Callithrix jacchus: one gene and its partners. The protein of the gene in region 1 interacts with the protein of each later gene in a biochemical or structural test. Links are inferred from orthologs where the notes say so. Each region holds a gene or a part of one and is shown in the gene's direction. Other genes may lie near its edges.

Region 1 (10,689 bases):
GGTCTATGGCAGAAGTTTGATATCTCTACCTTGAGTGTGTGCATGATCCAGCATAGCCACCGTGAAGTCAGGCAGATGCTGGCCCTTCTGTTTCTCAGGGACAGCTGTGTGCAGTCTCATGCCAGGAGTTAGGCCAACATACCCACCATGTGCAGCTTTGCTGAGTATTTGCCAGGTGACTGGCCGATTCACTCACCTCTCAGAGCCTCAGCTTCCTCATCTGTAAAGTATGACCAGTCCCACCTGTCTCCCAGGCTGGTGTTGAGGTTGAAGTGAGAAAGTATGCAAATACCTTACTGAGGGTGCCCAGGCCCTAGCAGGTGCTCTGCAAACATCAGGTGTTCTGCAAACATCACTTCTCTCCTGGTACACTCGCTCGTGATTCTTTTATGTCTCATTGACCATGGGCTCTGATTCCCATTAGTCAGTCTCTGTTTTTCAGTGCTTTGCCTGAATGTGTGGGATGTGGAAGAGCAGTTCAGCAGCAGTGGCTGCCCTGCTAGGGCTCCTGCCCATGGCCTGGGCCCCTTGCCTTTTCCCACAGATCCTGGCTGCAGCTCTGACCGAGTGTCACCAGAAATCCAGTGCCCAAGGCAAGCCTCTGGCCCTGAAGGTTTTTGTAGCTGGCAGAAACCGTCTGGAGAACGATGGCGCCACTGCTTTGGCAGAAGCTTTTAGGGTGAGTGGTTTCTGTCCATCCTGCCCCCGCAGCCCTGAGGTGCACTCGGCACAGTAAGCTGTTAGTCCTGGATGTGGATCCCATGGCAGGCACTCAGCCGAGAGACCTGAGGCGTCATATGCCCTCTTCAAGCCTGTTAGCCCATTCGAAAATGGGCCAGGATTCCTGTCATGCATTTCTGGAAAGATGTGTGGTTGCTCCCAAAGGTGAGCCAGCAGCAGCCCCTTGTGAGGCTTCAGGCCACTCTGACCAGGGAGTGTCATCTGCCAGGCCCAGAATTGGTGGAGCAAGATGCCAGGCGCGGTGGCTGACGCCTGCAATCCCAATACCTCAGGAGGCCAAGGCGGGTGGATCACAAGGTCAAGAGATCAAGACCATCCTGGCCAACATGGTGAAACCCCTACTAAAAATACAAAAATTAGCCAGGCATGATGGTGGGCGCCTGTAGTCCTAGCTACTCGGAAGGCAGAGGCAGGAAAATTGCTTGAACCCAGGAGGTGGAGGTTGCAGTGAGCCAAGATTGCGCCACTGCATTCCAGCCTGGGTGACAGAGCAAGACTCTGTCTCAAAACAAAAATACAAAAATTAGCTGGGCATGGTGGCACGTAATCTCTGCTACTCAGGTGGCTGAGGCAGGAGAATGGCTCGAATCGGAGTCAGAGGTTGTGGTGAGCCGAGATCTCGCCACTGCATTCCAGCCTGGCGACAGAGTAAAACTGTCTCGGGGAAAAAAAAAAAGTGGTGGAGCAAGGTGACATGAGTGATGAGTGCTCCCAGCCCCTGGTGTGGGGCACAGAGAAAGAACTTACTAGACTTCCTAAGACAGGGAGACAGGCAGGGGCAGCCACAGGGCTTAGGTGCCAGATGAAGTGCTCTTGGGTTACCTTGTCCCTGCTCCTCTTCCATTCTCCTCGTCTCCCCCCTCCTCCTCTCCCCAGCTCCCTAGGACATTGTTGAGTCTCCAACCATGAGTGCCAGAAGAAGGTCACACTTGCCCATGACAGAACTGAAAACTTTGGGGTCTGTCTCCCTCTTCTCTTTTTTGTTTTTCTGGGACAGAGTCTCACTGTGTCACCCCTGCTGGAGTGTAGTGGCACAATCTTGGCTCACTGCAACATCTGCCTCCCAGGTTCAAGCAATTCTCCTGCTTCAGCCTCCCAAGTAGCTGTAATTATAGAATTACAGGCGCCCATCACCACACCTGGCTAATTTTTGGTTGTGTTTTTTTTTTTTTTTAGATGGAGTGTGGCTCTGTCGCCAGGCTAGTCTGCAGTGGCATGATTTCAGCTCACTGCAACCTCTGCTTCCCGAGTTCAAGAGATTCTCCTGCCTCAGCCTCCCAAGTTGCTGGGACTATAGGCGTGTGCTACCATGCCTGGCTAGGTTTTTGTATTTTGGTATAGTTGGGGTTTCACTGTGTTGGCCAGGATAGTCTTGATCTCCTGACCTCATTATCCACCTGCCTCAGCCTCCCGAAGTGCTGGGATTACAGGCATGAGACATTGCATCTGGCCTAATTTTTGTATTTTTGTTAGAGACAGGGTTTTACCACATTGGACAGGTGGTCTCGAACTCCTGACTTCAAGTGGTCTTCTGCTTGGGCTTCCCAAAGTGCTGGGATTATAGGTGTGAGCCACTGTGCCCAGCCACTCTTCTCTGAATTTAAATGTTTTTTTTCAACAAACAGTATCCTAGGAGCATTGCTCATACTGGGCTGAATGGGCACCCTCTCCTGCCTGCCCACAGAGTTTGTCTGTAGACACTCCTTGCCTACTTCAGTGCCAAGTGGATAGCACAGAGATCTGCCTCGTATCTCCCTGCACCCCTGGCTGCAGGGGAGCTCCTGCTGCCTCCTCAAGAGCTGGAGGGGCCTTGTTGCCATCCTTGGATCCCTCCCTGCCCTCAGCTTGCTGTCCTCTGTGCACTGGGAATGGGGGCGATGCTGTGGTTGTGCTGAGCCTTCATAAGGTGTCCTCTGGTGGGCTTAAAATGGGTTGTTTTTTCTTAGACGGAGTCTTGCTCTGTCACCCAGGCTGGAGAGCAGTAGCACAATCTCGGCTCACTGCAACCTCTGCTTCCCTGGCTCAAGTGATTCTCCTGCCTCAGCCTTCCAAGTAGCTGGGACTACAGGCACCCACCACCATGTCCAGCTAACTTTTTGTATGTTTTTTTTTTTTTTTTGAGACAGAGTTTCACTCTTCTTGCCCAGGCTGGAGTGCATGGTGCGATTTCGGCTCACCATAACCTCTACCTCCCTGGTTCAGGCGATTCTCCTGCCTCAGCCTCCTGAGTAGCTGGGATTACAGGCATGTGCCAGCATGCCCGGATAATTTTGTATTTTTAGTAGTAGATACAGGGTTTCTCCATGTTGGTCAAACTGGTCTTGAACTCCCGACCTCAAGCGATCCACCTGCCTCAGCCTCCCAAAGTGTTGGGGTTACAGGCGTGAGCCACTGTGCCCGGCCAATTTTTTGCATTTTTGGTAGAGACGGGGTTCCATCATGTTAGCCAGGATGGTCTCAATCAGCCCTCAATCTCCTGACCTTGTGATCTGCCCACCGTGGCCTCCCAAAATGCTGGGATTACAGGCATGAGCCACTGCACCCAGCCAGAATGGGGGTTCTTAATCTCCTCCAGTCTGTGGATAGAATTCAGGGGTCTGTGAACATGGATGAGAAAAAAATAGCATCATTATTTATCCCTAGTGTAGCTAAAATGTATAGTGTGGCTTTTGATTATGAATGTAGACAAGAAATTTTACAGCATTAGAAAGGCTTGTGACTACCCACATAATACATGAGCCCATGTGGCCCTTGAATTAAAAAAAAAATTTTAATTTATTAAAATAAATTTTAATTTAATTTATTGAGACAGAGCCTCACTTTGTTGCCCAGGCTGGAGTGCAGTCTCAGCCCACTGCAGCTTCAGCTTCCCAGGCTCACGTGATTCTCCCACCTCAGCCTCTCGATTAGTTGGGACAACAGGCACACGCCACCATACCCATCCAACTATTTTTTGTATTTTAGTAGAGACAGGGTTTCACTGTGTTAGCCAGGCTGGTCTCAAACTCCTGATCTCAGGCAGTCCACCCACCTTGGCCTCCTAAAGTGCTGGAATTGCCTGCATGAGCCACTGTACCCAGTCTAAATTTTTTTTTTTTTTTTTTTTTTGAGACGGAGTTTCACTCTTGTTGCCCAGGCTGGAATGCAGTGGTGCATTCTTGGCTCACCACAACCTCCACCTCCTGGGTTCAAGCGATTCTCCTGTCTCAGCCTCCCGAGTAGCTGGGATTACAGGCATGTGCCATCACACCCGGCTAATTTTTTGTATTTTTAGTAGAGACGGGGTTTTACCATGTTGGCCAGGATGGTTTCGATGTCTTGACCTCGTGATCCACCCACCTCGGCCTCCCAAAGTGCTGGGATTACAGGTGTGAGCCACCTCACCCGGCCAAATAATTTTTTAAATAAATAGAAAGAAAATATTGGCCGGGCATGGTCGGCCAACATGATAAAACCCCGTCTCTACTAAAAATACAAAAAATTAGCTGGGCATGGTGGTGTGTGCCTGTAATCCCAGCTACTGAGGAGGCTGAGGCAGGAGAATTGCCTGAACCCAGGAGGCGGAGGTTGCAGTGAGCCGAGATCGCGCCATTGCACTCCAGCCTGGATAACAAGAGCAAAACTCTGTCTCAATTAAAAAAAAAAAAAGAAAAGAAAAGAAAATATTTTGACTCTGTCCGTAATAGAAATCATAGATATTTCATCTCAAGTTAAGTTTTTGCTGATATATAGAAATATTTCTCACTACATCAAAATTGCAGTAATAGTGGACCCACCCCTAGACCTTGTTATTTAGTGCATTAACAAGAAGTTCGTATATTACTACAGAATGCATTTGGAGTTTTTTCCTAAATGTTTAATAACTGTTCCAATTGAGTTGATTTCCTTTGTAGTTCTCTATAATTTTTCTTAAAACTAAAAAAAAAACATTTTGTGAGGAGTGGGCCCAGGGGTCTCACCAGACTGCCTGAAAGGTTCAGAGCACAGAAAATATTCAGAAGGCCTGACCTGGAATGTGCCTCAGTTGGTCTTTCTGTATTTGTGAACCACCCGCTCCCTTGCTTACCCCATGCAGCAGTGAGCACTGGAGGACAGCAGAAGGTGCCTTGGCACAGTTATGCCAAGTCTGTCTTCAGTCCTGGGTCACGGTGGAGACTCGGACATGGCCCTCTCCTCCAAAGCTCAGGGGGCAATGGGGTGCAGACAGGAATATACACTTTGAATGTAGGCAGGGTGAGGACCACTGTGATAGAGGAGGGAACAGGTGCTTCGGAGGCACAGAGGAAAAGCACTGGACCCTGGCTGGGGGAATCGAGGAAGCCTTCCTGTGGGAGAAGGTGACCGAAACAAGAGCCATAGAATGCCGGTGAGTTAGCTTGTCAAGAAAATGCTTTCCTGAAATATACAGTTGCAAAAAAAAAAAAAAGAAAGAAAGAAAATGCTGATTGACTAGGCGTGGTGGCTCACGCCTATAATCCCAGCACTTTGGGAGGCTGAGGAAGCTGGGTCACCTGAGGTCAGGAGTTCAAGACCAGCCTGACCAACATGGCGAAACCCCATTTCTACTAAAAATACAAAACTAGTCAGGTGTGGTGGCATGTGCCTGTAATCCCAGCTACTCGGGAGGCTGAGGCAGGAGAATCACTTGAACCTGGAAGGCGGAGGTTGTGGTGAGCTGAGATGGTGCCACCGCACTCCAGTCTGGGTGACAGAGTGAGACTTTGTGCCACCGCACTCCATTCTGGGTGACAGAGTGAGACTTTGTGCCACCGCACTCCAGTCTGGGTGACAGAGTGAGACTCTGTCTCAAAAAAAGTAAGAAAAAATGCTGTCAAATAAGGAGATAGAGTGTTCCACATGGAGAGAATGTGTATCAAAAGGCCAGGATGAGATAGGGCAGCATGGGCCAGGGAAGACCTTCCCATCCCCAGAGAAGGACACGGCATGTCGAAGGCGTTATGTTGTGTAGGTGGGTAGGGTAGGAGGGCCCCAAGAAAAAAAGGTCACATGGAGCTGTGTCATCCCAAGAAGGGCCATGAGTGCCTGCCTACCAGAACCAGGATCCCTGCCATGCAGAGGACCCCAGAGTGAAAACAAGAAATCAACCTGCTGGATCTAGAGCTGTGTGACCCTGGGCAAGTCACTGCACCTCTTTGATCCCTAGTCTCTTCTTTTGTGGGATCCTATCCCAGGTAGTAGGCCTCCCTCAGGAGGTTGAGGAAAGTCAGATGCAGCCATGCCCCAGAATCCCACAGATGAGCCCCTGCCGTGCTGGTGGCAGCCTGTTCCTGGGCCTGCTGGATGTTACCTGGCACTGGGGCCTCCACGCTCTGTCTCCTCTTCACAGGTCATTGGGACCCTGGAGGAGGTCCACATGCCACAGAATGGGATCAACCACCCTGGTGTCACTGCCCTGGCCCAGGCTTTTGCTGTCAACCCTCTGCTGCGGGTCATCAACCTGAACGACAACACCTTCACTGAGAAGGGCGCTGTGGCCATGGCCGAGGTGAGGCAAGTGTGGCAGAGCCAGGTTGGGCCTCACCAGACAGAGGCTGCTGCTGCCTTTGCAGGAAAGCTGGGGCTGTGTAGCAGGGACTGCTCTGTCCCCTGGGTGTATGCCCCATGGGTCCAGCTCGTTGAACCCATGGGTCCCTGAACAGGGTTGCTGGTCACGAGTAACCCATGCAGCTCTGAGTGTTCATGCCGCCTTCCTCCTGAGCTGCCTCTGTGGCCCCCAGCGGCTGGCGCTGGTTTTGTTCTCAGGCTGCACAGGAGCGGGCTGCTTCCCACCTCTATTTTCCTCGTTGATTTGTTCAGCAGCTGTTGTTTGTTTTGTTCTTTATTGCCACTTTTTGAGATGGCCAGGCTGGTCTTGAACTCTGGGCTCAAGTGATCCTCCCACCTCAGCCTTCTGAGTAGCCTGGGATTATAAGCGCATGCCACTGTGCCTGACCCAGCAGCTGTTTTTTGAGCCCCCATTTAGTGCTTGGCTTTGTACCAAGCAAGTGCAAGCCACACAGGGTTGAGCCAAAGACCCTCCTTCAAGGAGATCCTAGCTCAAGGAGGGGAGGGAGGTGCTGGCGGGGACAATGCTGGGTCCTGAACGCAGTGGATACTTGGCTGCCAGGACCCTGTGGCCCCACAGAAGGCTAGTCTGGCTGCTTATGTGTTAGCAGAGATGTGTGCAGGTGTTGGGAACACGTCAGAAGGAAGTTCAAATCAGACTTAGGTCAGGCTTCCTGGAAGAGATCACATTTTGGCTAAGGTACAGTACAAGTGGTCTTTCTCCGGACAGAAGGTGGGAGGTGGATGTTTCAGGCAGAGGGATTAGCTTATGTGTGGAAGGCCTGGAGACTTGGGCAGGACTGGTCTCAGGAAGAGTTGTGGCCGTAACATGGGGAGTGAGGTCAAGGGGGGACCCAGAGGCCAACAAGGAGAAGACGGCAAAGCTGGCGACTTGGGGAGGAGGACAGTGTGTGGTGGCTGGTGTGGGAAGTGACTGTGTGGGGCCACCATGGTGCTTTCTGAGGGCTGGAGTGTGGCCTGCACCCTCATTCTCTGTACCCTTACTTCCCCCTCGCAGACCTTGAAGACCTTGCGGCAGGTAGAGGTGATCAATTTTGGGGACTGCCTAGTGCGCTCCAAGGGTGCCGTTGCCATTGCAGATGCCATCCGTGGTGGCCTGCCCAAGCTAAAGGTGCCAACCTAGACCCTGACGTCCTCCTGGGGTCTGTGGGTGGTGGGTGACTGGGGGTGCAGGGGTCTGGTCTGAAGCTAAGTGGGCCTGCGTCCATATCCCAGCTCCTCCACTTCATGCCCTGTGATGCTGTGTGAGCTCCACACCCCTCAGAGCCATGGTTTTTCATTTATAAAGTGGGCAGGGGGTGGTGTGCATCACTGTGGTATAGTTGAGTAAACACACACTGTGTGGCACATCGTTGGCTGCAGGGTTATTCTTCCTGCCCACTATGCCTTGGGAAACAGCACTGGAGGACAGAATATGCCATATCCTCACTTGGGGAAACTGAGGCTTAGAGTGGGACATGGTGTCCTGGCCCAGGTTTCTGCCTCCCTCCAACCCTTCCTCTTATTTTCAGGAGCTGAACTTGTCATTCTGTGAAATCAAGAGGGACGCTGCCCTGGCTGTTGCTGAGGCCATGGCAGACAAAGCTGAGTTGGAGAAGCTGGACCTGAACGGTAGTCGGATGGGGGAGTCCTCTGCACAGGTCTGGCAGGCTGGCCCTGGCACCCCGGGCTGACTGCTCTTCCCTCCCCTTGAGCAGGCAACACCCTGGGAGAAGAAGGCTGTGAGCAGCTCCAGGAGGTCCTGGACGGCTTCAATATGGCCAAAGTGCTGGCGTCCCTCAGGTAGGGAACTAGGGTGGGTGGCCCCAGAGGTCAGGGTTAGGCCATTCCTTTGTTTCTTTTTTTTTTTCCTTGAGATAGAGTCTTGCCCTGTTGCCCAGGCTGGAGTGCAGTGGCACGATTTCTACTCACTGCAACCTCCATCTCCCAGGTTCAAGCGATTCTCCTGCCTCAGCCTCCCAAGTAGCTGGGATTATAGGCAACCACCACCATGCCCCTTTATTTGTTTCTACTTGTATTTATTCAGAAAGGTTGGTTGCACTCCTATTATGTGCCGGGTTATACACTAGGCATCAGGTCTATAAGGGTGGGACAGTCAGGGTTTCTGGCTCATGGAGAAGAGATAGAATGAGTTGTGCATTCAAAAGAGGAGCTCATACGGGCTGAGTAGAGCCACCCTCTAGAGCGAGGGGAATCGGGAGGCCTCTGAAGGGTTGAGGCCAGATCTCATCCTGATGTGGTGGGGCCTGGGCAGTGATGGGAGTGGGAGGTGGGGGCTGCCAGAAGGGGCTGCGTTCAGGATTGTTCTTAAGATACTGACTCTAGAAAGGAAGAGATTCTAAGGCCTGGGGAGTCCACCTGGAGGCGAAGGTGCGGTGGGGGAGCTGCCACTGCCTCTGGATCCAAGTCCAGTTGGGCCATCAGCACCTGGCTCCCTGTGCCCCTCTCATCCCCAAGTCAGCCTTGTTTGTGGGTCAGATACTCAGTTGTGTCTCCTCCGTGCTAGGCCCTGAGCTGAGGCTGGGAACTGGGGACTTGGAGGTGGGCTGAACCTCACAGGTCCAATGGTCCCTGGGAAATGGACTAGCCTTCCTGTGGGGCAAGGACACCCCTACTCTTCTTCCTCCCTCATACCTGTAACTTCCTGAGGTCATGTGGATGTAGGTACCCCTGCCCTGGCATCTCAACCTGGGGAATGTTCCTGCCAAGCCCTGGGCTCTGGGTATGACAAATAAAAACAAATGTCTTTGTTTTTTGTCTCCCCTGGGGCTCCTTGAGGACAGGGACAAGGTCTGATTCTTTTGTGTCCATAGCATGGATTTCCCTGGTGATCCACCTGCCCCTGTCCTGGGAGCAGGTGCTCCCACCCCACCTAGGCTCCCTCCCACCTGGCTGAGGTGAGGTCTCTGGGCTGATGGAGCCAGGCCTTGGAGCCAACCTGGGCTGCTGGGTAGAGAGGATATGCTTCAGCCAGCTCTGTCTGCAGTGATGACGAGGATGAGGATGAGGAGGAAGGAGAAGAGGAAGAAGAAGAAGCAGAAGAGGAGGAGGAGGAAGATGAGGAAGAGGAGGAAGAAGAAGAGGAGGAGGAAGAGGAAGAGCCTCAGCATCAAGTGCAGGGAGAGAAGTCAGCCACGCCCTCACGGAAGAGTCTGGACCCTAACACTGGGGTGAGTTTCTGTCGTTGCCATGATCAGAGCCCTGGTCCTGAGAAGGTGAAAGCCTGAGGCGTCTTCACAGTGGGGTAGGGGTGTCTCCCTAAGCATAGTAGCCACAAACATTTTTTTTTTGATTACATTATACTGACTTGAAAATGGTCCCAGTGTAATGATAGTTACCTATATTTCTTTCTTTTTCTTTTTTTTCGGGGGGTGGGGGGGCAGAGTCTCTCTTGTCACTGAGGCTGGAGTGCAGTGGTGTGATCTCGGCTCACATTTACAACCTCTGCCTCCTGGGTTCAAGCGATGCTCCTGCCTTGGCCTCCTAAGTAGCTGGGATTATAGGTGTCCACCACCACACCTGGCTAATAGGTACGCCCCAGTTCAGGTTTTTCTCTGGCTACCTTAGCAGGGCTTACCCAGTGTGGACTGTAGTTCTACAGGGACCTACTTTAGACCCCATGTATCTCTTTAGTCATTTCTCGGGTACTGCATATTATGACGAGAATCTACTTGGCTGTAGCAGATTTTTTGAGTCCTAGGTAGGTGGCTTCCCCCTGACCCCAAAGGCTCCTGGACCAAGAGCCAGCCAGGGCCAGCATCTCTGGGTGATGTTGATAGGTGGGAAGGGAGGAAGAATTCTAGACTTCGCGCCTAGATGGGCTAGAGTGAGGGGTGGATGTGCTGGGTGTGGGGATGGGCACAGCTGTGTTGGGAAGTCTGGGGCCTGGAATTCTATAGAGCCTTCGTGCCTCCACTTCCTAGGAGCCAGCTCCCGTGCTGTCCTCGCCACCTCCTACAGATGTCTCTACCTTCCTGGCTTTTCCATCTCCAGAGAAGCTGCTGCGCCTGGGGCCCAAGAGCTCTGTGCTGATAGCCCAGCAGGTAACAACTACACCTCGACCCCCATGCTATACGTGCCGTGGCTTCTGGAGCTGCTAGAGAAAAGGGACGAACAACTCAGGGACTTGGGGGTGTGACGCTGTCGGCTGCGGGCAGGGAGGCTTGGCCTGCCACTGTTATGACACGTGCAAATGTCCAGTGTATTTATAAGCCTCTGGGGGTTGTAGATCTTCCCTCCCCACTCCACCTACAGAAAGTGCAGCCCACCAGTTCCCAGTGCCGACTGGGGCTCGTAAATTTCCTCAAGACTGTTGCGGGTGCACACCACACCCACTCCTTGGCTTCTTGCTGCATGTTCTGT
Region 2 (10,689 bases), on another chromosome or scaffold:
CAGGATGGTCTTGATCTCTTGACCTCATGATCTGCCCTCATTGGCCTCCCAAAGGTCTGGGATTACAGGCATGAGGCACTGTGCCCAGCCCAAATCTGCTACTTTTATTTAAATAAGTTGTTTAGGAGTTACATTCAGAGCACGGTGACATGGAGCACCAAGAACTTAGAATCAGATTTCATTTTACTTCACAAACTCTTGAAAGGTTACTGCCACAATCTCTTTGAGTGCAAGGCTAAGTATGCCTTGTGGGACAGGGACACAATGTTTCTCTGCTCTCTTTGGGTAGCAGAGGTTAACACAGTTTCCTTGTGCTTTCTTTCTCTCTTTTCTACTCTTTTCCTAAGGGTAGATTTTTAAATAAGAGGATATTAACCCCATGTTACATGAATGCAAATAGGTCTTAGCTTGAAATCTCCTGTTCACTCTTGGTTCCAATTTGCTTAATTCCTTTCATCCAGTTTTCCAGTGGTTGAGGGAGAACCTAACTTGGTCTCCTTAGCTCTGAGCATCATCCTTCACTGACACTTCAGGCATTGTGGGTAGGAAGAAGTCTGAGAACAAAACCTAGGGTTAAAGTTCTACCCTCAACCGAGAGGCTGGAAATGAGACACACTGGAATTGTACGTAGGACACTAGAGTCTAGGGGAATCAAAGAGGAACAGAAAAAGGAAGGGGAAGCATATTATTTGATTGACTCCAAGATGCTACTATTTGTAAGTTGCACCATTTAAAAAATATGCCATTAAGAAAGAAATGCTGGCCGGGCATGGTGGTTCATGCCTGTAGTCCCAGCACTTTCAGAGGCCGAGGTGGGCAAATTACCTGAGGCTAGGAGTTTGAGATCATTCTGGTCAACATGGCGAAACTCCATCTCTACTAAAATACAAAAATTAGCCTGGTATGGTGGCACATGCCTGTAGTCCCAGCTACCCAGGAGGCTGATACATAGGAGTATTGCTTGAATCGGGGAGGGAAAGGTTGCAGTGAGCCAAGATTGTTCCACTGCACTTCAGCCTGGGCAACAGAGCGAGATTGTCTCAAAAAAAGAAAAGAAAAGCAAAAAAGAAATGCTGCCTATTTAACTGTGTGCCATCAATGATAATATGTATCCCAACTTCAGAGATGAGAGATGTTAACGTATAGGAAAAAAACTGGAATTCATTGGGCATTTGGGACTTAAAAAGTTTCATAGTTATAGAAAGGAGTATGGAGGACACATTGAGATTTTTGACATGATTGTAAAACTCTACATTATGGCTCTGTTCTACATCATTTCACGCCACATCAGGTCCTGGACAGCTTTGGTGTACTGGTTGATCTGATAGGCCAGTGTAATTAAGAGAATATTTTAAAACTTAACGTATAATTGCTCCAATTGTTGTCTCTTTTTTTGATGGTTGAGAAAATCAAATTTCTATTGAATCTCATAGCAGACTTTGGAGGTTTCTGACAAGTCATTTCTTACTACCTAGGGGAATGTGCTTGTACTCAGCTGGCATCTGAGTATCTTCTACATCCAGGGAATTGGGCTGAGTGTGGATTTTGGTTTTGGCAGTTTTTACTTTTATTAATTTGCAAAAGAATAGAAGATTTGTAATGTACGAAAATCATAAAAGTATGTCAGGTGGTTTTACATGCGTTATTTATCACGTTAATATGTCTTAAAACATTTTCCATGTGTAAGCTCATGTAAAAGCAGGAAACTAGTGAGATTTCATAGTCTAGAGATCAAGAGGTTTTTTAGTAACTAGCCTTAGAAGGTATATTGAAAGGTATTATATAAAGTCAAGGGACTAAATGTTAGTAATTAAAGAGTCAGGCTGGGTATTGGTGGCTCATGCCTGTAATTCCAGCACTTTGGGAGGCCAAGGCAGGTAGATCACTTGAGATCAGGAGTTTGAGACCAACCTAGCTCACATGGTGAAACCCTGTCTCTACTAAAAATACAAAAATTAGCCGGGCATGGTGGCATGCACCTGTAGTCCAGCTACTCCGGAGCCTTGAACCCAGGAAGTGGAGATTGCAGTAAGCTGAGATGGCGCCACTGCACTCAAACCTGGGCAACAGAGCTAAGAGTCCATCTCAAAAAAAAAAAAAGTCAGGTGCCTAAAGCCTACATACCCCACTGTGAGAATACATCTCAAGTTTTACTGTGGATCATTGATTCAGACATACAGTTCACATTTTAACCTGTCTGAAATGGAAATACCTGAAATTGATGGCATGATCGAGTTTCATTGGCAGCATGTTTTCATACTGGCATATGTTATCATCTGAAATCTTAGGTTTGATGAAGTAGGTGTGATTTTTAAAGTGGGAAAGAGTTTAGTGATGTAGAAAGTTTGCAGGACTTGATTATTGTCTAACAAAATGACTGACAAAGATTAACTTATAAATTATCCCTTGTCCGTCTGAGTAATCTGCAATTTGGACATGGATTCAAGTTCATTTGGGCTGAATCAATTTTGATAAAGTAAGTTTTGACAGCTGTTTAAATATTGGGAAAAGGGGTAGTCAACATTTTTCTTACATCCTGAGAGCTTTGTTAAATTTAGTTATTTTAGACCCATTGGGCTCTATTTTCTGGTTCAGCATGTTGCTGTAATGGTAAAATATATTTTTGAAATTACAGTTGTCTTGAAGTTGATAATAAATTGACCAATGTATTGTATTTTGTCTCTACTTAGTTACAAGTTGGACTTTTCCTAAGTAGAACTTTTAATTTGACAGACCCCTCTGCTTCCTGAAATGACTGAAACAGGCCAAATTAATGCTTATTTTGAATATCTTAGGTTTGTTGCTTTCTTTCACATATTACCTACCCCACTCAGCAAAAGCAATTAATCCGAGCACTTGATGCCAAAGAAAATTCTAAAAGGTCTGGATTTTTTTCCTTAGGTTTTACAAAGTAGCTGCCATGAGATCTTTAAGCCAAAGCAGCTTACAGAGCAGTTTTTGTTTAATGGTCTGTTAGAGTCTGACTGCATGATGACTTCCAACTGTCTGGATGCCATTCTGAAAAGGGTTTAGCGCCACATGCTTCTCACAGTTCTCCATTTCTGATGAAGGCACACATCTGGAGGTGCTCTAGAGCAGTCCGTGCGGTTAGCCTTGAAAGTGCCATGTATGACTAGTTCACCTCAGTCATCTTTTGTATAACCAGACACACGGCATTACATTTGTTTAACGTCTTTTGCCTTTCTCTCCCACAGAGTATCTCCCATATTCATGTTGCACTTTGTAGAAGGCTTACCACAGAAGGACTTGCAGCACTATGCATTTCACTTTGAAGGCTGTCTTTACCAAATAACTTCTGTAATTCAGTATCAAGCAAATAATCATTTTATAACATGGATTTTAGAAGATGATGGTAAGTGTTTAGAGGTTTCCTTTTAAGACAGTTGGCATGAAAACGAAACTCGTGTGTGTGTGGGGGGGGACTTTCTGTTTTTTTTTTTAAAAAAAGACAAACTTTGCCCTGGCTGTTTCTCTCTCCATTCTCACCTTGGCCTTCTGCTCCTTGCACCTATTAAAAATGGTGGTTTTAGTATCCTTCCTAATTTCTTTCTTTCCTTACATCATGTATTTTGGGTAAACACAGGTGCATGGGTGTATTTCTTTTTTAGACAAAGAATGAGATTGCATACTACTATTTGCTTACAGTTTTCTTCCTACTTAACATCTTTGCTTTTATTTTTTAGACATAGTTTTCTAAGACTGTTATTACACATTAGACTTATATAGCCCTTCTGTAATTGTGAAATACATAGATTGCTAACAGCTACTATCAAGATAAAGTCTTTATTTAAGTAATTGAACTTCTTAATAGAAAGCTAAGTAAGCACAGTTCATGGATTTGGGGAATTTTTGCCTTCTGTTTGTCTGATGTAGTGTAATACTGAATTTGTTTTTCTCATAATGTGCACTTTGTCTTAGACAAGATAACTCAATGTCCTTAAAGGGTTGTATCAGGCCATTGATAAGGGCTCACTTTGATATAACCATATAGCAAGTGAGACACTCCTTCACACTTGCTATTTTCCTCCTGGGGATGGTTTGAATGGATGACACAATACTGTATTATAAAAGCATTTTACAAACTCTAACTTATATTATAAATGTAATTATTACCTTAAGGTTTTACCCTCTTTCAGATTTGAGAGGAAGTAGTTCTTCACAATATGAACCAACTTATTTTAACTTTTTTTTGCATTTCAAAGATTGATCAATACACTTCAAGTTCAGCATGGTTCCTAACCCTGACAGCATATAAGAATCATTTGGTTAGCTTCTAAACATTTCCAAGTTGTACCCTAGACCACCCTTGGTGATTAGGCCCAAATGTCAATATTGGGTGTTTTTGGTATTGGTTTTTGACCGGCCTTCCTTCCTTCCTGCCTGCCTGCCTGCTAGCCTGCCTCCCTCCTCCCTCCTCCCTCCCTCCCTCCCTCCCTCCCTTCCTCCTTTACTTTTTCTCACTTTCTCTCTCTCTCTTTCTTTCCTTCTCTCCTTCTTTCATCTTTCTTTTTGAGACAAGGTCTCACTATGTTGCCCAGGCTGTTGTGAGACTCCTGGGCTCAAATGATTCTCCTGCCTCAGCCTCCTGAGTAGCTGAGACTAAGGCACATGCTATGGCAATACTATTTTAACATTGTTTTAAAAGCTTCCCAGATGATTCCAGAGTGGGTCATGTGGTAGAGAACCACTGACACAGGCAAACAAAAGATACATAAAGTTTTCTATTTAATGGGAAATAGCAGGTTCAGGTAGTAGGTAAGGGTGTAGCCACATTAACCACATGCTTAATGAACAGTTTTGTTTTGTGTGTATGTGGGGATTTAGCAGATCTCTGAGCATATTTTGTTTTCCCTTTTGAAACTTAACCAGAATTTATGTCTGTTATGTGACTTATGTTCTTGGTTTACTTTTTTTTGTATCAGATCTTATATTTTATTAAATATTTTAATTTGGTCTTTAGCTTTTTCCCTTTGGGGAATGTGTAAGGAAAGATCTGTTTTTCCTTTCTTAATCTTTGCATTCCTCAAAATTAGTTCTTTTTTTTTTTTTAGACAGAGTCTCGCTCCGTTGCCCAGGCTGGAGTGCAATGGCACAATCTCAGCTCACTGCAACCTCTGCCTCCCAGATTCAGGGGATTGTCCTGCCTCAGCCTCCCAAGTAGCTGGAATTACAGGCATGTGCCACCACACCAGGCTAATTTTTGTAGTTTTAGTAGAGACAGGGTTTTACCATGTTGGTCAGGTTGTTCTGAAACTCCCAACCTTATGATCCGCCCGCCTCAGCCTCCCAAAGTATCGGGATTACAGGCGTGAGCCACTGTGCCCGGCCTCAAGATTAGTTCTTTATAGGAAGCCTTTGAAGCCTGGTGGCAAGTACTTATTTTCTCTTATAATCTTAAGATATGGTCTTTCTCAGCATGAAAAAGTGACTATGGTAGATGTGTCAAATGAGTTTTCTTTTTTTTGAGACAGAGTCTCACTGTGTTGCCAGGCTAGAGTGCAGTGGAGCAATCTCAGCTCACCACGACCTCTGACTCCCTGGATCAAGTGATTTTTCTGATTCAGCCTCCCATGGAGCTGGGATTGCTGGCATGTGCCACCACGCCCACCTCATTTTTGTATCTTTAGTAGAGACAGGGTTCCACCATGTTGATCAGGATAGTCTCGACCTCCTGACCTCGTGATCTGCCTACTTGGCCTCCTAAAGTGTTGGATTACGGGCATGAGCCACAACACCTGGAAATCAAATGAGTTTTCTCTATGTGTGCTCTTAGAAATCTTTCTTCAAAAACGAATAGATGCATATGGACAAGGAAAAGAAACTGAGCACACTGTAAATATTTAAGATTAAGTATCTGTGAACATGTTTTGCAACATAAAATGACAACCACTATGTTGGTCACTTCTCTACTGCTAAAACAATGTTTTCTGAAATAATATACTCCTTAGGAAAAAGACAGTGCTTTGGGTGCTCACTATTATAATCCAAGGAATAGGAAATGTTTTGTAGTAAGTATGATGGTGTTTGACATCATGATCTATTATAATCCAAGGAATAGGAAATGTTTTGTAGTAAGTATGATGGTGTTTGACATCATGATATATTAATTTATTACATTTGGTTTCGGGAGGCAGGGGTGGGAGGATAGCTTGAGCCCAGGAGTTCGAGACCTGCCTGGGCAATATAGCGAGACCCCGTTCTCCACAAAAAGGAAAAAAAAAAAGACAAAAAAAGAAATAGAGTAAGCTACGTATTTGCTGTGCCACAATTACCATGACATTATGCTTTTTGTATTGATTTTCTGTTTCATAGATGTGTGTAGATATTGATTATATAGTGAAATGTGGATTGTTTTGCTAAGTCTCTAATGAAAGTACAGATATTTGTTGATTATTTATTAAGAAAGGTTGTTATCTAAGCCTGTGGTTAGCTTTTTTCAAATTATCATGTAGTAGTAAGTAAAATGTAGAGAAATATACCTTCTCTTGGCTAGGCACGATGGCTGATGCCTGTAATCCCAGCACTCTGGGAGGCCGAGGTGGGTGGATCACCTGAGTTCAGGAGTTCAAGACCAGCCTAGCCAACATGGTGAAACCCCATCTCTACTAAAAATACAAAAATCAGCTGGGTGTGATGGCACACACCTATAATCCCAGCTACTCGGGAGGCTGAGACAGGAGATTGCTCCAGCCTAGGAGGCGGAGGTTGCAGTGAGCCATGATTGCAGCACTGCACTCCAGCCTGGGTGACAGAGTGAAACTCTGTCTCAGAAAAAAAAAAAAGAAAGAAAGATACCTTCCCTTAACCTCACACCGCCTATTAGCACCTAGCCACCTTTCTTTACTTCTCAGCTGTACTTTTTATATTTTTTTGTTGTAGTGGTAAAACATATATAACTTAAGATTTACCACTGTAACATTTGTAAGTGTACAATTCATTGGCATTGAATACATTTACAATGCTATGCAACCACCGTCAGCACCAGAACTTTTTCATCAAGCCAAACAGAAACTCTACTCATTGAAAAATACCTCCGCATCCTCCCATCCCAAACCCCTGGTAACCACTATTCTCCTTTCTGTCTCTGTGAATCTGTCTATTATAGATACCTTATAGAAGTGAAATCATACATTATTTGTCCTTTTGTGTCTGGCTTATTTCACTCAGCACATTTTCAAGATTCATTTGTGTTGTGGCACATTGCAGAATGTCATTCCTTTCTAAGGCTGAGTAGTAGTGTATGTGTTATCCATTTATCTGTGATGGACATTTGGCTATTGTGAATAATGCTGCTCTGAACATTGGTGGACAAGGAACTGAAAGTCCCTGCTTTTCATTCTTTTTGGTGTATACCTACAAGTGGAATTGCTGGGTCTCAATGGTAATTCTGTGTTAACTTTTGGACGAACTGCCAGACTGTTTACACAGCAGTTGTACCATTTTACATTCCCACCAGCATTACACAAGGATTCCAGTTTCTCCACATTTTTGCCAACATTTGCTATTTTCTATTTTTTAAATAATATCTATCCTAATGGGTGTCTTTTTTTATTTAAGGAATGGTTTAAACAGGTTACCTTCTTATTCTTCATTCATGCTGTAGCTGACTACATAAGGGCCCCTGTCACTACTGCACCACTGAAATTGTGAAGGCAAAAGTAACTGCCAGCAACCACACTGCTATAAGTAACGGACTTTTCCCAAGTTGTGTGTTAATATTTCAGTATTTGGCAGTGCATCCTCATTTTTCAACTCTTGTCATCTATCATCTCATTGTCTCTTGACAAATGTGAAAATGCAAGGTCAGAAATAAAACAAGAATTCAAATGAATATTGATCCTTCAGGTAACAAGCTTCGTTTATCATGAAAATTTATATATATAAAACATTCTGTTTTCTGATGTTATTGGATAAATTAGGTGATAACCAAATTCTAAATTCCAAAAGTTAAATATACTCTGTCTAAGGACTTTAACATGGCAGATGATGGTGACAAGGTCAAGACCATGTTGTTGTTGTTTTATTTTATTTATCTGTTTATTTATTTATTTTAAAGATGGGGTTTCACCATGATGGCCAGGCTGGTCTTGAACTCCTGAACTCAGGTGATCCACCCACCTCGGCCTCCCAAGTGCTAGGATTACAGGCGTGAGCCACCGTGTCCAGCCAAGACCATGTTTTAGAGTCTTCTCCTTTGGTGGGTATTCAATGATAGAACAGTTGAAAAGGCAAGAAGAAAGTTAACCTAGGGTGGTGATTTTTTCATATCTATCTTTCACTTCTTTTCCCTCCTCCAGGAAGTTGGCTGGAATGTGATGATTTAAAAGGCCCATGTTCTGAAAGGCACAAGAAATTTGAAGTGCCTGCTTCAGAGATACATATTGTTATTTGGGAAAGAAAAACATCCCAAGTGACAGATAAAGAAGCCGCCTGCCTTCCACTTAGAAAGACTAATGACCAGCACGCTGTCGGTAATGAGAAATCAGTATCTTCAATGTCCTGTTCTGTGGGTGATGCGGCCTCAGCTGAAACAGCCTCAGTAACTCACCCTAAAGTTACATCAGTTGCCCATCATACTCTTTCACAGGACTCAGCTGTAACTCATGGAGATCACTTCCTTTCAGGTTCAAAAGGTTTGGTTGACAATATTTTACCTTTGATACTTGAAGAAACTACCCAGAAAACAGCCTCAGTTTCACGGTTAAATTCTGAAGCTTTCCTGTTAGAAAATAAACTTGTAGCTGAAAATACAGGAATTCTCAAAAAAAGTACTTTGCAATCACAAGAATCACTAATGGCTTCTTCAGTATCAGCTCCATTGAAAGAAAAGCTGATCCAGGACCAATTTGTGAGCATAAGTTTTCCATCTCAAGTTGTAAACACCAACATGCAGCCAGTACAGCTGAATACAGAAGGTGCTGTAAATACTAAATTTGCGAATAACACTCATGCTACTGGTCTTATACAGGGAGTGAAGGCAGTAGAAACTGAGAGGGATGCTCAGTTAAAACAATTCCTTACACCAAAAACTGAGCAATTAAAACCAGAACATGTCACATCTCAGGTATCTAATTTGAAGAGAAAAGAAACTACAGCAGATTCTCTAACCACATCTAGGTCACTACAGAATCAGTCTCTGAAAGAAAATCAGAAGAAGCCATTTGTCGGCAGTTGGGTTAAAGGCTTAATAAGCAGAGGTGCTTCTTTTATGCCACTCTGTGTTTCAGCTCATAATAGAAACACAATAATTGATTTACAACCTTCAGTTAAAGGGGTAAATAATTTTGGTGGCTTTAAAACTAAAGGTATAAATCAGAAGGCCAGCCATGTATCCAAGAAAGCTCGTAGGAGTGCGACTAAGCCTCCTCCCATCAGTAAGCCACCACCAGTTCCTCCATCATCTAATGGCACAGCTGCCCCCTTGCATGCTCATGCTGCTCCAGAAGTTTTGGAAAAGTCTGGAAGCACCTCATGTAGCGCTCAACTCAGCCACAGTTCTCATGGAAATGGTATTTCTTCATCAAACCATGAAGACTTGGTGGAAGGTCAGATTCATAAACTCCGTCTAAAACTTCGCAAAAAACTGAAGGCACAAAAGAAGAAATTAGCTGCTCTAATGTCTTCCCCACAAAGTGGAACAGATCCAAGTGAAAATCTAGAACAGGTGCCCCAGGGTGGGTCTCCAAATGATTGTGAATCAATAGAGGACTTGTTAAATGAGCTACCATATGAAATTGATATTGCCAATGAGTCTGCATGCACCACTGTTCCTGGTGTTTCCCTGTATGGTAGTCACACTCACGAAGAAATTTTAGCAGAATTGTTGTCTCCTGCAACTGCTGTTTCAGCAGAGCTGTCCGAAAATGGGGAAGGTGACTTTAGGTATTTGGGAATGGGAGATAGCAGTATCCCATCACCAGTACCAAGTGAATTAAATGATGTTTCCCAGAGCACACATCTGAGACAGGACCATAATTATTGTAGCCCCACCAAGAAAAATCCATGTGAAGTTCAGCCAGATTCTCTGACAAATAATGCCAGCGTTAAAACATTCAACTTGGAGAGTCCCATGAAGAATGGTATTTTCGATGAGTTTTTTCCACCCTCATCATTAAATGCTCTAGCAAGTGACCCACTAGATCTACCTCATTTTGATGAATATCTGTTTGAGTATTGAATAAATGCTTGTTAACTTTTTTCATATAATATTTATTATTAGAAGAACCTACTATGTGTTCAGGTAGTGTTTATACACTGGACTTGTGTAATTACTTGTGTAATAACCATGAACAAAATGGAAGGTTTTACCTTTGGTTCTGCCATGAAGCATGTAGTCTGTCACACAAATTAAAATCATTGAATGTGTTGTTTGGTTTTATTTTGTTCTTGTAAGAGTCTGAGGATTTCACAATGTTAAAGATGAAAAGTGGTGTCTAGTTTTTGGCAGTTTGTACAATTGAGTGCATTAAATTTTTAGATTTGAAATTTTGGTTATGTTAGTGTTCTGGGTGATCTTTGGGGTGGGTGGTTTTCTTCCCCCAGAAGCCTGTTGCTGGTGGTGCCTTTCTTTGCCCGTGGTGCCCAAGTTCTTGTCCTACATCCAGGTATGCAGACAAATGAAGGGTGGACAAGATGAAGCAGAGCTTTATTTAGTGTTAGAACAGCTCA
Region 3 (11,162 bases), on another chromosome or scaffold:
GGTGAGGAAGAGAGTTTTTATTTCTGCAACTGGTTACAGGGAGAAGGCCTGGAAATTATCACCAGACCAACTCAAAATTACCAAGTTTTCCAGATCTTATATACCTTCTAAGTTATATGTCTATGTGTAAGTGTGCATTCATCTAAAGACAAGTGATTAACTTCTTTTAATCTATAACTAAGATCTGAGTCCTGAAGACCTTCCTCTGGAGCCTCAGTAAATTTACTTAATCTAATGGGTCTAGGTGCCAGGGTGATTACCCTTCTCTTGCCTCCCTTTAAATCACAGAGGTTTGGGGAGTTCTTTCAGACCCCCAGTCAACTTGGCTGTGGAGGCCTGGGGAGTTGCTTCAGACCCACAATAAAACTGGTTTAATCCTAAATGGGTCCTGTTAAGAATTCCTTTGTTATAGGCTGGGCATGGTGGCTCACGCCTATAATCCCAGCACTTTGGGAGGCTGAGGCAGGCAGATCACGACATCAGGAGACTGAAACCAGCCTGGCCAACATGGTGAAACCCTGTCTCTACTAAAAATACAAAAATTAGCTGGGCATGGTGGTGCGCACCTGTAATTCCAGCTACTCAGGAGGCTGAGGCAGGAGAATTGCTTGAACCCTGGAGCAAAGGTTGCAGTGAGCCAAGATCGTGCCTTGGAAAGACCTAGGTAAAACTCTTGATGGGCTTTTGTTACATCCCAGCCTTTGTATAAGGGCACTGGGTTTTAATATGTAACCGCTCAGTCATTATTGAAACAGTTGTTTCAATATGGAGATCTGCATTAGTGAGACCTGGCCTGCTATCAGAGGTTGCAGTGAGCTGTGATGGTGCCACAGTACTCTAGCCTGGGTGACAGAATGAGACTCTGTCTCAAAAAAGAAAAATGATACCGAAAGATTTGCTTGACACAGGGTGGCCACAGACTTTCAATTTGTAAAAAACATAGTATCTGCGAAGTACAATAAAGTGTAGTGCAATAAAATAAGATATGCTTGCATAGAAAAACATCATGTTGTACCTAGTAAACAGATATAACTTTTTTTTTTTTTTGAGATGGAGTTTCACTCTTGTTACCCAGGCTGGAGTGCAATGGCGCGATCTTGGCTCACCGCAACCTCCACCTCCTGGGTTCAGGCAATTCTCCCGCCTCAGCCTCCTGAGTAGCTGGGACTACAGGCACGCGCCACCATGCCCAGCTAATTTTTTGTATTTTTAGTAGAGACGGGGTTTCACCATGTTGACCAGGATGGTCTCGATCTCTTGACCTCGTGATCCACCCGCCTCGGCCTCCCAAAGTGCTGGGATTACAGGTGTGAGCCACCGCTCCCGGCTATATACAACTTTTATTTGTGAATTATACCTCAATTAAGCTGGACAAATGAACTGTATTTGCAACATGGTAGGAATATGATATTCGACACTGATGCAAATGAAATTGTCATTGCCTTGGTGAAAATGTTATACTACTTAACAAACAAAAAAATGTAGTGTAAAATGAAGGAAAATGTGAAAATCCCTACAAATGCTTGTCCAAAAGAGCAGTCTTTTGAGTTCCTCAAAAAGGTTCTCTCTTTGAATGCTGGGCGTGGTGGTTCACGCCTGTATCCCAGTACTTTGGGAGGCTGAGGCAGACAGATCACTTGAGGCCAGGAGTTCAAGACCAGCCTGTCCAACATGGTGAAACCCCGTCTCTACTAAAAAATACAAAAATTAGCTGGGTGTGGTGGCATGTGCCTGTAATCCCAGCTCCTCAGGAGGCTGAGGCACAAGAATTGCTTGAACCTGGGAGGCAGAGGTTGCAATGAGAGGAGATTGTGCCGCTGCAGTCCAACCTGGGCCACAAAAAAAAAAAACCTCCACCTCAAAAAAAAAAAAAAAAAAAGATTTTTCTCTTTGGGCACTCCTTTTCAATATATTCAACGTAAATGGATTAATGATACCATTTTTACTAGGTGAGTGTGTTTGGGCAAGTTGCTTCAGTGCTCATTCTCGTTTTCCTTTTTTTTTTTTTTTTTTTTTTTGAGGCAGGGTCTTTGTCATCTAAGCAGGAGAGCAGTGGACTGATCATAGCTCACTGTAGTCTTCAACACCTGGCCTCAAGAGATCCTCCTGTTTCAGTCTCCCAAATAGCTGGGATTACTGGCATGCATCACCATGTCTTACTAATTTAATTTTTTTTTTTTTTGTAAGGACATGGTGTTGCTATGTTGCCGAGCTGGTCTTGAACTACTAGGCTCAAGCAATCCTCCCACCTTGGCCTTCCAAAGTGTTGAGATTATAGGTATGAGCCCTGGTGGCTGTCTGTCTTTTGGTTTCCTAATCTGTAAAACTGAGGATAATAACAGTACCCTTACAAAGTTGTGGGAGAATGAAGTTAGTTAATACAAGTGAAGTGCTAAAAAAAAAAGCGCTTTGGAAAACAGCAAGTATTTGTTAGCTATGGCTATTGTTATCAACACATTTTTCAAGGCAAACTCGTGGTTACACCTATCACCTGAGGTTTATGACTTCGAAGTCCATCTTCTCTCTCTTTTTAAAAAATAATTAAGGAAATATTATTATTTTTTGAGACAGAGTCTGCTCTGCTGCCCATGCTGGAGTGCACTGGCACGATATCAGCTCACTGCAACCTCTACCTCCTAGGTGCAAGCAATTCTGGTGCGTCAGCCATCCAAGCTGGGATTACAGCTGTGTGCCACCATGCCCAGCTAATTTTTGCATTTTTAGTAGAGATGGGGTTTCACCATGTTGGCCAGGCTGGTCTTGAACTCCTGGCCTCAAGTAATCTGCCCAACTGGGCCTCCCAAGTGCTAGGATTACAGGCATGAGCCACTGCACCTGGTCCTCTTTTTGTTTTAGAGACAAGAATCTCATTCTTTTCTAGAGGTGGGATGCAAAGGCATGAACATAACTAATTGCAGTGTGCAACTCCTGGGCTAAAGCGATTTTTTCCTCTGCCTTTGGAGTAGTTGGGCCTCAGAACGGTGCTGAGACTTCTGGCTTCCATCAGGATCTTTGTCCTACCATTTCATCTTCTTACTAGACTATCTCCACATAGATCTATAAATGGCACCTCAAGTGAAAGAAATCAACTACCTAAAATAGGATATGCCACTCCAAACTTGTTTTTCTTTACGTGTCATTTCTGTTAATGTGGGTCACACACATGGGTAAACTCAGAATTATCTTTTTATTTTCTTTTATTCACATCCAATATGGTTGAAATAAAACAAAAGGAAATGCTGTTTTTTCTTTTTTAGAAAGGCAATATTTGTTCATTATATAAAATTTAGAAAATATGGAAAGGATAAAAAATTATCCACAAACAAAACTGCCCAAATTTCCAGTTAAAAATGTCAGTGTATTTTATATTTGCCCATGTAATTAAGGCTATACTGTTTAAACAAATGCTTTTAAAATCTAAAAGATTCTCACTATTAAAAACCTTTTGTTAAGTCTTTGTCTCAAAAAAAAAAAAAAAAAAAAAAGAGTCTTGCTCTGTTACCAGGCTGGAGTGCAGTGAGGTGATCTCAGCTCACTGCAATCCCTGCCACCCGAGTTCAAGCGATTCTCCTACTTCAGCTTCCTGAGTATCTGGGACTACAGGTGTACGCCACTACACCCAGCTAATTTTTGTATATTTAGTAAAGATGGGGTTTCACCATGTTGGCCAGGATGGTCTTGATCTTGACCTCGGGATCCGCCCTCCTCGGCCTCCCAAAGTGCTGGGATTACAGGCGTGAGCCACTGTGCCAGGCCAAGTCTTGTTTTAAAAGTAAGATTTTAACATCCAAATTCCCAAAATAAGACATTTTTGAAGATTTGTTAAATACTGATGGCTCAACATCTTGATATTATTACTGTTAAATTTTGGTATCTCCTGTTATTCTGCTAGTGAAATATATATAGATCTGGTGGACTATTCCTTTTTTTTTTTTTTTGAGACAAGGGTCAAACTCTGGTGCCCATGATGGAATGCAGTGGCGCTATCATAGTTAATTGTAAACTGGAACTCTTGGCCTCGAGCCTCCCAAAGTGCTGGGGCTACAGGTTTGAGCCACTGTGCCGGGCAAATGGCTATTACTATAGACACAGTTGATCCTTAAATAACATGGTTTGAACTGCCTGGGTCCACTTATAAGCCGACTTAAAATACAGTATTCGAGAGGCCCGCGTTTAGAGAGTACCCTCTCTAAGAGTTCTGCAGGACCGAGTGCGGGATTTGAGAATGCGCGGATTTTTGTTTTGTTTTTAGATGAAGTTTTACTCTCGCCCAGGCTGGAGTGCAGTGGCGCAATCTCAGCTCACTGCAACTTCCGCCTCCCACGTTCAGGCGATTCTCCTGCCTCAGCCTCCGGTGTAGCTGGGATTACAGGCGCCCGCCACTACACCCAGGTAATTTTTTGTATTTTTTATTTTTTGAGACAGAGTTTCGTTCTTATTGCCCAGGCCGGAGTGCAATGGTGTGATCTCGGCTCACTGCAACCTCTGCCTTTCGGGTTCAAGCCATTCTCCTGCCTCAGCCTCCCGAATAACGGGATTGCAGGCGCCCGCCAAATTTTTTTTATTTTTTATTTTTAGTAGAGACGGTGTTTCGCCATATTGGCTAGGCTGGTCGCGAACTCCCGACCTCAGGTGATCCGCCCGCCTAGGCCTCCCAAAGTGCTGGGCTTACAGGCTTGAGCCACAGCGCCCGGAAGAATGCGTGGATTTTGGTATAAGCAGGTGGTTCCGGAACCAATCCTCTGCCGACGGATGTGTTTAAAAAACTGTAATTGTTCAAAATTTAGTATTTGTGGTCTACTTTTTCATATATGCACTTTAAAATTTATTATTTCTTTTAAAAGGTATTAATTTAAAAATGTATGCTTCGTATTCACACACATGTCCAACGCAACGTATTTAACCAGTCATCTCCAGAAACGTTGTTCCACTTTACAAGCTCACAAAATCGGCCGCAGTGCTTTTTTCTTCCAATGCATAGAGCATTTATAATTTAAAACAAGCAACCAAAAGGCTTAAGAGCTCAGCACGCAAACTTTTATCTGTTGGAAACCTACTACCTTAGCGTGATGGACGCTGGCGCCGGCTACCCAAGACCAGGCTCCGCGACCAGGAAGTTGCCAGGAGCTCCGCTATGTGCGGCGCGAGCGCCGACGTCGCCAACGTGGCGCACAGTGCTGACGCATACGCAAGTGCGTTAGACTGGTCCTCCGCCGGCGACGGCACTGCGTCACTGGCTTGAAGGCGCTTTGCTCTTGGAACTGGCGACCGTTGCGGGGTTGAGTGTTTGACTCCCGCGCCTCGGAAGCCAGCTTGGCGGCGCGATGAGGCGCAGCAAGGCCGACGTGGAGCGGTACATCGCCTCGGTCCAGGGCTCTGCCCCGTCGCCTCGAGAGGTGAGTGGGTCTCGAAGAAACCTACTGTCTCGACCTGGCCCGGCTGCGGCCTCCCGCGGCTCGGGCGTCATGGCTCCTGACAAGCACTGCTCCGTGGCGCGCTCTCTTGAGGCGCTGGCCGGCCAGCGCGGCCCTGTGGGCGGCGTGGCGCTGGCGAGTGCAGAGGAGTCCTGGCTGGGCCGCGGCGGGCCGGCGCTTCCTCTTTCTTCCGGCCTGTTCCGGACGGTCCTCGCTCGTGGGCCCACCCTGGCCCTGGCTTTCTGGCCGGTCGCGCACCGCTGGGACCGGCGCGGCCTAGTTCTCTGGGGCTTGGGCACCAAAGTCTCGGATGCTGTATCCGGCGGGGTTCTTTCCATCTCCCGGACATTTACTTTACATGCTGCGGCGGAGGTCGTACCTCCTTGGCCTGGTGGAACCCAGTGAGGACTGACGCAGCTCCGGGGTGAGCTTTGGCGACTCTGACGGGTGACATCTCAACGCAGACATTTGCCACGGCTCGACAGCGCAAATGATACGGGAAGTCCCCTTGCTTTAAGGCTGAGGTGTTTGTCGCTGTCCCTTTATAAGGGTCTAGCTCCACTCTTCATACTCACCCCTGTCCCCCGAACCCAGAACACTTCGGTAGCTGCTTTTGTGTTTTGTTTAAAAAAAAAAAAAAAATTCTAGATTTCTTGCAAATTTATGCCTTAGAATTTTTAACTTTTTCCACAGATGTTCTTAGGGTATTTTTCCTTTTTAAAGGTAAATAATATGATATCTTTTGGATTCAGTAAGACTTTAGTATTTGGATGTAAAGAGTGATGGAAGAAGCTATTTAAAGGTGAATGTGCACAGAATCTTGAGTCAGTTTGCTTTGGCTTGATGAATAACCACAGCGCTGTCTTTTGTAAGTTGGATATTTGGTACAGGTTACACTATTCATCCATAGATGGAGTTGTAACTGATAGAATTTGATAGGGTGATCCATTTTAAACATTTAGGGTTGTGTGTGCTGGACACATAGTATTAAAATGTTAGCTGCAAGTCACTATTTTTATTGTTGATGTCGAAAGGATTTAGCGGGGCGTGGTGGCTCACATCTGTAATCCCACCACTTTGGGAGGCCGAGGCAGGCAGATCACCTAAGGTTAGGAGTTCGAGACCAGCCTGGCTGACATGGTGAAACCCCGTCTCTACTAAAAATACAAAATTAGCCGGGTGTAGTGATACACGCTTGTAATCCCAGTTAGGAGGCTGAGGCAGGAGAATCTCTTGAACCCAGGAGGCGGGGGTTGCAGTAGCTGAGATCTGGCCTTTGCACTCTGGCCTGGGCGCAAGAGCGAAACTCCATCTCAAAAAGTAAATAAATAAAAGGATATTTATTCAAAGTCTCTACTGTGCAAGGGCCTAGGAGAATAAAGATCTGTAAGGAAGTTTTTTTTAAAAAAGAACGGCTTGCGGGCGGGCCCGGTGGCGTATGCTTGTAATCCCAGCACTTTGGGAGGCCTACCGGCGGATTGCCTGAGGTCAGGAGTTTGGGACCAGCCTGGCTAACATGGTGGTCCCAACTCTGTCTCGACTAAAAATAAAATTAGTCAGGCGTGGTGCACGCCTGTAGTCCGATCTACTCAGGAGGCTGAGGCAGGAGAATCGAGGCGGAGGGAGACTCCGTTAAACAAACGTAATGGAAAGCCCTGGGTGATCCTGATTATTATAGTAGCACAGTTGTGTCTTTTATAATAACTAAGCATAGATTACCTTATTTTGCACTTCAGCAACCCTGTGGAAATTGAGACCTGTAGAGATTAAAGATACTTGAACCCTGTGGATATTGAGAACTGTGGAGATTAAAGATACTTGTTCAGGGTCAAATAGGTAGCGCAGCAGAATTTTGGCATTGGGTCCTGGGAACACTGAAGTAAGTTACAGTCTATTCCTCCAGAGAAGAGGACTATCTATTCCTACTTGTACATTGTAATTTCAAACTGCTAGCATAGTCATAAATGTGGACATAGTGATAGAGTCTAAAACAGACCTTATTGAGGGTACCTGTAACTCCTGAAATTACACTTTAATTTTTACGTTATTTTTTTTTTTTTGAGATGGGATCGATCTCTTGTCATTTGCTGGATGCAGTGGTGCTATCTCGGCTTACTGCAATGTCCGCCTCCCGAACTCAAGCCATCCTTCTACCTCAGTCTCCTGAGTAGTTGGTACCACAAGTGCACCCATGACACCTGCTATTTATTTATTTTTTGCATTTTTGGTAGAAACTGGGTTTCACCATGTTGCCCAGGCTGTTCTTGAACTCCAGGGCTCACATGATTCCCCTGCTTCCACCTCCCAAAGTGTTGGGATTACAGGCGTGAGCCACTGCACAGGGCATTAATAATAATAATAATTATTATTATTTTGAGACAAGGTCTTTTTTTGTCTCCCAGGCTGGAGTGCTGTGGCGGGATCATGACTCACTGCAGGATTGACCTCCTGGGCTCTGTCCATCCTCCCACATTAGCCTCCCAGGTAGCTGAGACTACAGGCATGTCAGCTACAGGCATGTGCAACCATGCCTGGCTAACTTTTTTCTTTTTTTTTTGAGATGGAGTCTCGCTCTGTTGGCCAGGCTGGAGTGCAGTGGTGTGATCTTCGCTCGCTGCAACCTCCGCTTCCTGATTTCAAGCAGTTCTCCAGCCTCTGCTTCCCGAGTAGCTGGGATTACAGGTGCACACCACCATGCCCAACTGATTTTTGTTATTTTTAGTAGAGATGGGGTTTCACCGTGTTGGTCAGGCTGGTCTTGAATTCCTGATCTTGTGATCTGCCTGCCTTGGCCTCACAAAATGCTGGGATTACAGGTGTGAGACACTTTGCCCACTCTGATTTTTTTTAATGCAAGCTTAAAAAATAAAAAAGCAAGCTTAGAACCTTTCCGAGATTCTTAGTGGGGACGTTGACTTCCAAAAGATTAAAAACCACTGGTTTAAACAGAAGTTAGAGTGTTCTTTCAACTACATTAACTTTTCCATTAAAGTGGAGTGGTGACAGAATTTTGGGAATTAGTTACTATGACCAGCTCTCTCTTACACTTAAAGAGTATTTTTTTTCCCAAACAAATTGAAATGGATTTTAGTGGAATATGGATTAGCTAGTGAGTAACTTTTCAACATGTGAAGCTATTCCATAAAGTTAGGTTCGAGTGAAATGATGAAACAGGGTGCTTTGGATAGAAGGTAAAGAATGGAGTGGGAAGAGGCAGTGGCTGGGAAGACTATAAAGAGGTTAGTATTCTCCCCCAGTTTGGCAGAGGCTGGCTATCTGTGAACTGACTATGCTTTCTAGGATGTCTTCGTTCTGAAGTGTTGATGTGTCTGTATATCATATCTTTCTGGTCTTCCATTGTCCTTTCATTTCATCTCCTCTTTGTTTTGCCATTTTTCTACTCCCTCACATATGCTTTTGCCCTTGTTAAAAATACTTTTTGCCTGTAATCTGAGCACTTTGGGAGGCTGAGGTGGGTAGATCACCTGAGGTCCGGAGTTCGAGACCAGCCTGATCAATATGGTGAAATCCCGTCTCTACTAAAAATACAAAAATTAGCCAGGCGTAGTGACATGCACCTGCAGTCCCAGCTACTCGGGAGGCTGAGACAGGAGGATTGCTTGAACCCTGGAGGTGGAGGTTGCAGTGAGTGGAAATGTGCCACAGCACTTGAACTTCAGCCTGTGTGACAGAGTGAGACTTGTCTGGGGAAAAAAAACTTCTTTCTCTAGTTTTTCTTTTTCCAGATGGTTTCTGTTTAGTTTTTCCAGGTTCTGTCAGGTTAGCTTCTCATTCTGCAACTGATTCCTACTCCCCAGAGGCTATTTATTTATTTATTTATTTTTTGGGCTTAGTGATCGTCCTACCTCTGTTTCCTGAATACTTGGGTCTACAGGCAGGCACCTTTGACAGCTCTTAGCTTTTTTTTCTGCCCTTGATATCTATACTTCATGCTTCTGAGTCACACACATACATATTTTTGTTATTTTTAATTCCCTGTCTACCATTTTAGACAGTTTCTACTGGCTTTTTACTGTGCTCCTCCAAAACTGTCCTTAGACACTTTGGTTCGCCCCTTATTCTTTCAGTACTGTTATTGCAGTTTTTGTTAAAATGAATATTTAACATTTATGTAAATACCATAAGGTAAATATTTTTGTATTTGAATTGCCCTTATTGTGCAGTTTTGTTTTTCCTGGACTGAATAATTGCTTTAGTTTTTGGTTTGCTTATGTTGTGTTACTGCTTGTTTACTTAAACTCACCAATTTAAACCCTCAAATGTGGTCAAACTGGTCACATAATGCCATCAATTTCAGCTTAAAACATTCATCCATCCATTCATTCATTCATTCATTCATTCATTCATTCATTTATGTATGTATATTTTGAGACGGAGTCTCACTCTGTTGCCCAGGCTGGAGTGCAGCGGCACAGTCTTGGCTCACTGCAACCTCTGCCTCCTGGGTTCAGGTGATTCTCTTGCCTCACCCTCCCGAGTAGCTGGAATTACAGGTGTCTGCCACCATGCCTGGCTAATTTTTTGTATTTTTAGTAGAAATGGGGTTTCAATATGTTGGCCAGGCTGGTTTTGGAAAATAATGGTATGCCTGCAAAAAACATCTTTACTTAGTTTGGTTGATAGATTGGTTATCAAATTCTGAGTTTGAAATAATTTTTTTCTCAATTTTGAGAGCACTGTTCCATTTTCTAGAAGTTCTGTTGTTAGAAGTCTGATGACATTCTTGTTCTTGGTAACTAAAGATTTTCTGGAAGTGTCCTTTCAATTGGAAAACTCATTTCTTTCAGTTCTATAACATTTCTTGTATTATTTCTTTGACCCTTTCTTTTTTTTTTTTTTCCTGATATTTACCTGAAAGTTGGAGTTTCTCATTTGGTTCTCTAATTTTTCTCTTTCTTTTCCTCTTCTTTTGTTTGTTCGGTTTTTTTGAGAGATTTTTTTACCTTTATGTTCTAGGGGAAGGGGACTGGGGAACTCATGGTTTAATATCTAGACTTTTCCTTATTATCCTGTGTAATCACTGCCTTCACCCTTGTTGGGACTCCACAGATTTGGAGCTGATCAGATGGATTTGTTGAGAATAGCAGCTTTTTTGGAGGATTTTAGTGGGAGGGGGATTCAGTTGACTGTGCAAGATAGAGGTAATGTGGCGTCTCTTAGGGTCTAACTGTTTCTGTTTTCAGCCCCACATCAGTTCTTGATATTTAGCAGCTTAAGAGATTTCAGGTATTTGGTTATTAGGACATCTGCTGTCATTGAAAGAAGTACTGCTTGAATCAAGTATTGTCCTGTTTACGTAACATGGGCTCTGCTTCTTCTTAGCTGTAGATCTTTAAACAAGGCATTTACCTGCTTGAACTTCCTTTCCCTTGTAAAATTAGCAGGTAAGAGGCAAAATATCATATAGAAGAATAATTTATATAGTTGTTTAATTATCTTAAGGTTGTCTAATAAGATAGTTGGAAGCAAAGAAGGTAATGGAGTTATTTTTCTATTTGGTTTTGCTGTTGTACCTTTTAAGAATCTGTTTCTTTATTTTAAAAAGGAGGAACTGACTGGGTGCGGTGGCTCACGCCTGTAATCCCAGCACTTTGGGAGTCCGAAGCAGGTGGATCACGAGGTCAAGAGATCGAGACCATCCTGGTCAACATGGTGAAACCCCGTCTCTACTAAAAATACAAAAAATTAGCTGGGCATGGTGGCACGTGCCTGTAATCCCAGCTACTC

The links.
Region 2: of the proteins of RANGAP1 (region 1) and USPL1, one has a biochemical effect on the other in vitro, tested with the Homo sapiens proteins (2 studies listed by BioGRID). The link is inferred for Callithrix jacchus from reciprocal best matches to the Homo sapiens genes RANGAP1 and USPL1.
Region 3: the proteins of RANGAP1 (region 1) and RANBP2 form a complex in vitro, tested with the Homo sapiens proteins (5 studies listed by BioGRID and IntAct, with this or other methods). The link is inferred for Callithrix jacchus from reciprocal best matches to the Homo sapiens genes RANGAP1 and RANBP2.

Annotation. Positions count from the first base shown.
Region 1 is NC_133502.1:192,060,330-192,071,018, reverse strand, and holds part of RANGAP1 (ran GTPase-activating protein 1), read left to right. Parts: intron 1-544; coding exon 545-679; intron 680-6,088; coding exon 6,089-6,247; intron 6,248-7,324; coding exon 7,325-7,438; intron 7,439-7,838; coding exon 7,839-7,938; intron 7,939-8,024; coding exon 8,025-8,109; intron 8,110-9,313; coding exon 9,314-9,497; intron 9,498-10,250; coding exon 10,251-10,370; intron 10,371-10,689. UniProt on the Homo sapiens protein: GTPase activator for RAN. Converts cytoplasmic GTP-bound RAN to GDP-bound RAN, which is essential for RAN-mediated nuclear import and export. Mediates dissociation of cargo from nuclear export complexes containing XPO1, RAN and RANBP2 after nuclear export.
Region 2 is NC_133506.1:149,858,556-149,869,244, forward strand, and holds the end of USPL1 (SUMO-specific isopeptidase USPL1), read left to right. Parts: intron 1-3,215; coding exon 3,216-3,373; intron 3,374-8,318; coding exon 8,319-10,198; 3' UTR 10,199-10,506; downstream 10,507-10,689. UniProt on the Homo sapiens protein: SUMO-specific isopeptidase involved in protein desumoylation. Specifically binds SUMO proteins with a higher affinity for SUMO2 and SUMO3 which it cleaves more efficiently. Also able to process full-length SUMO proteins to their mature forms.
Region 3 is NC_133515.1:20,388,020-20,399,181, reverse strand, and holds the start of RANBP2 (E3 SUMO-protein ligase RanBP2), read left to right. Parts: upstream 1-5,235; 5' UTR 5,236-5,324; coding exon 5,325-5,396; intron 5,397-11,162. UniProt on the Homo sapiens protein: E3 SUMO-protein ligase which facilitates SUMO1 and SUMO2 conjugation by UBE2I. Involved in transport factor (Ran-GTP, karyopherin)-mediated protein import via the F-G repeat-containing domain which acts as a docking site for substrates.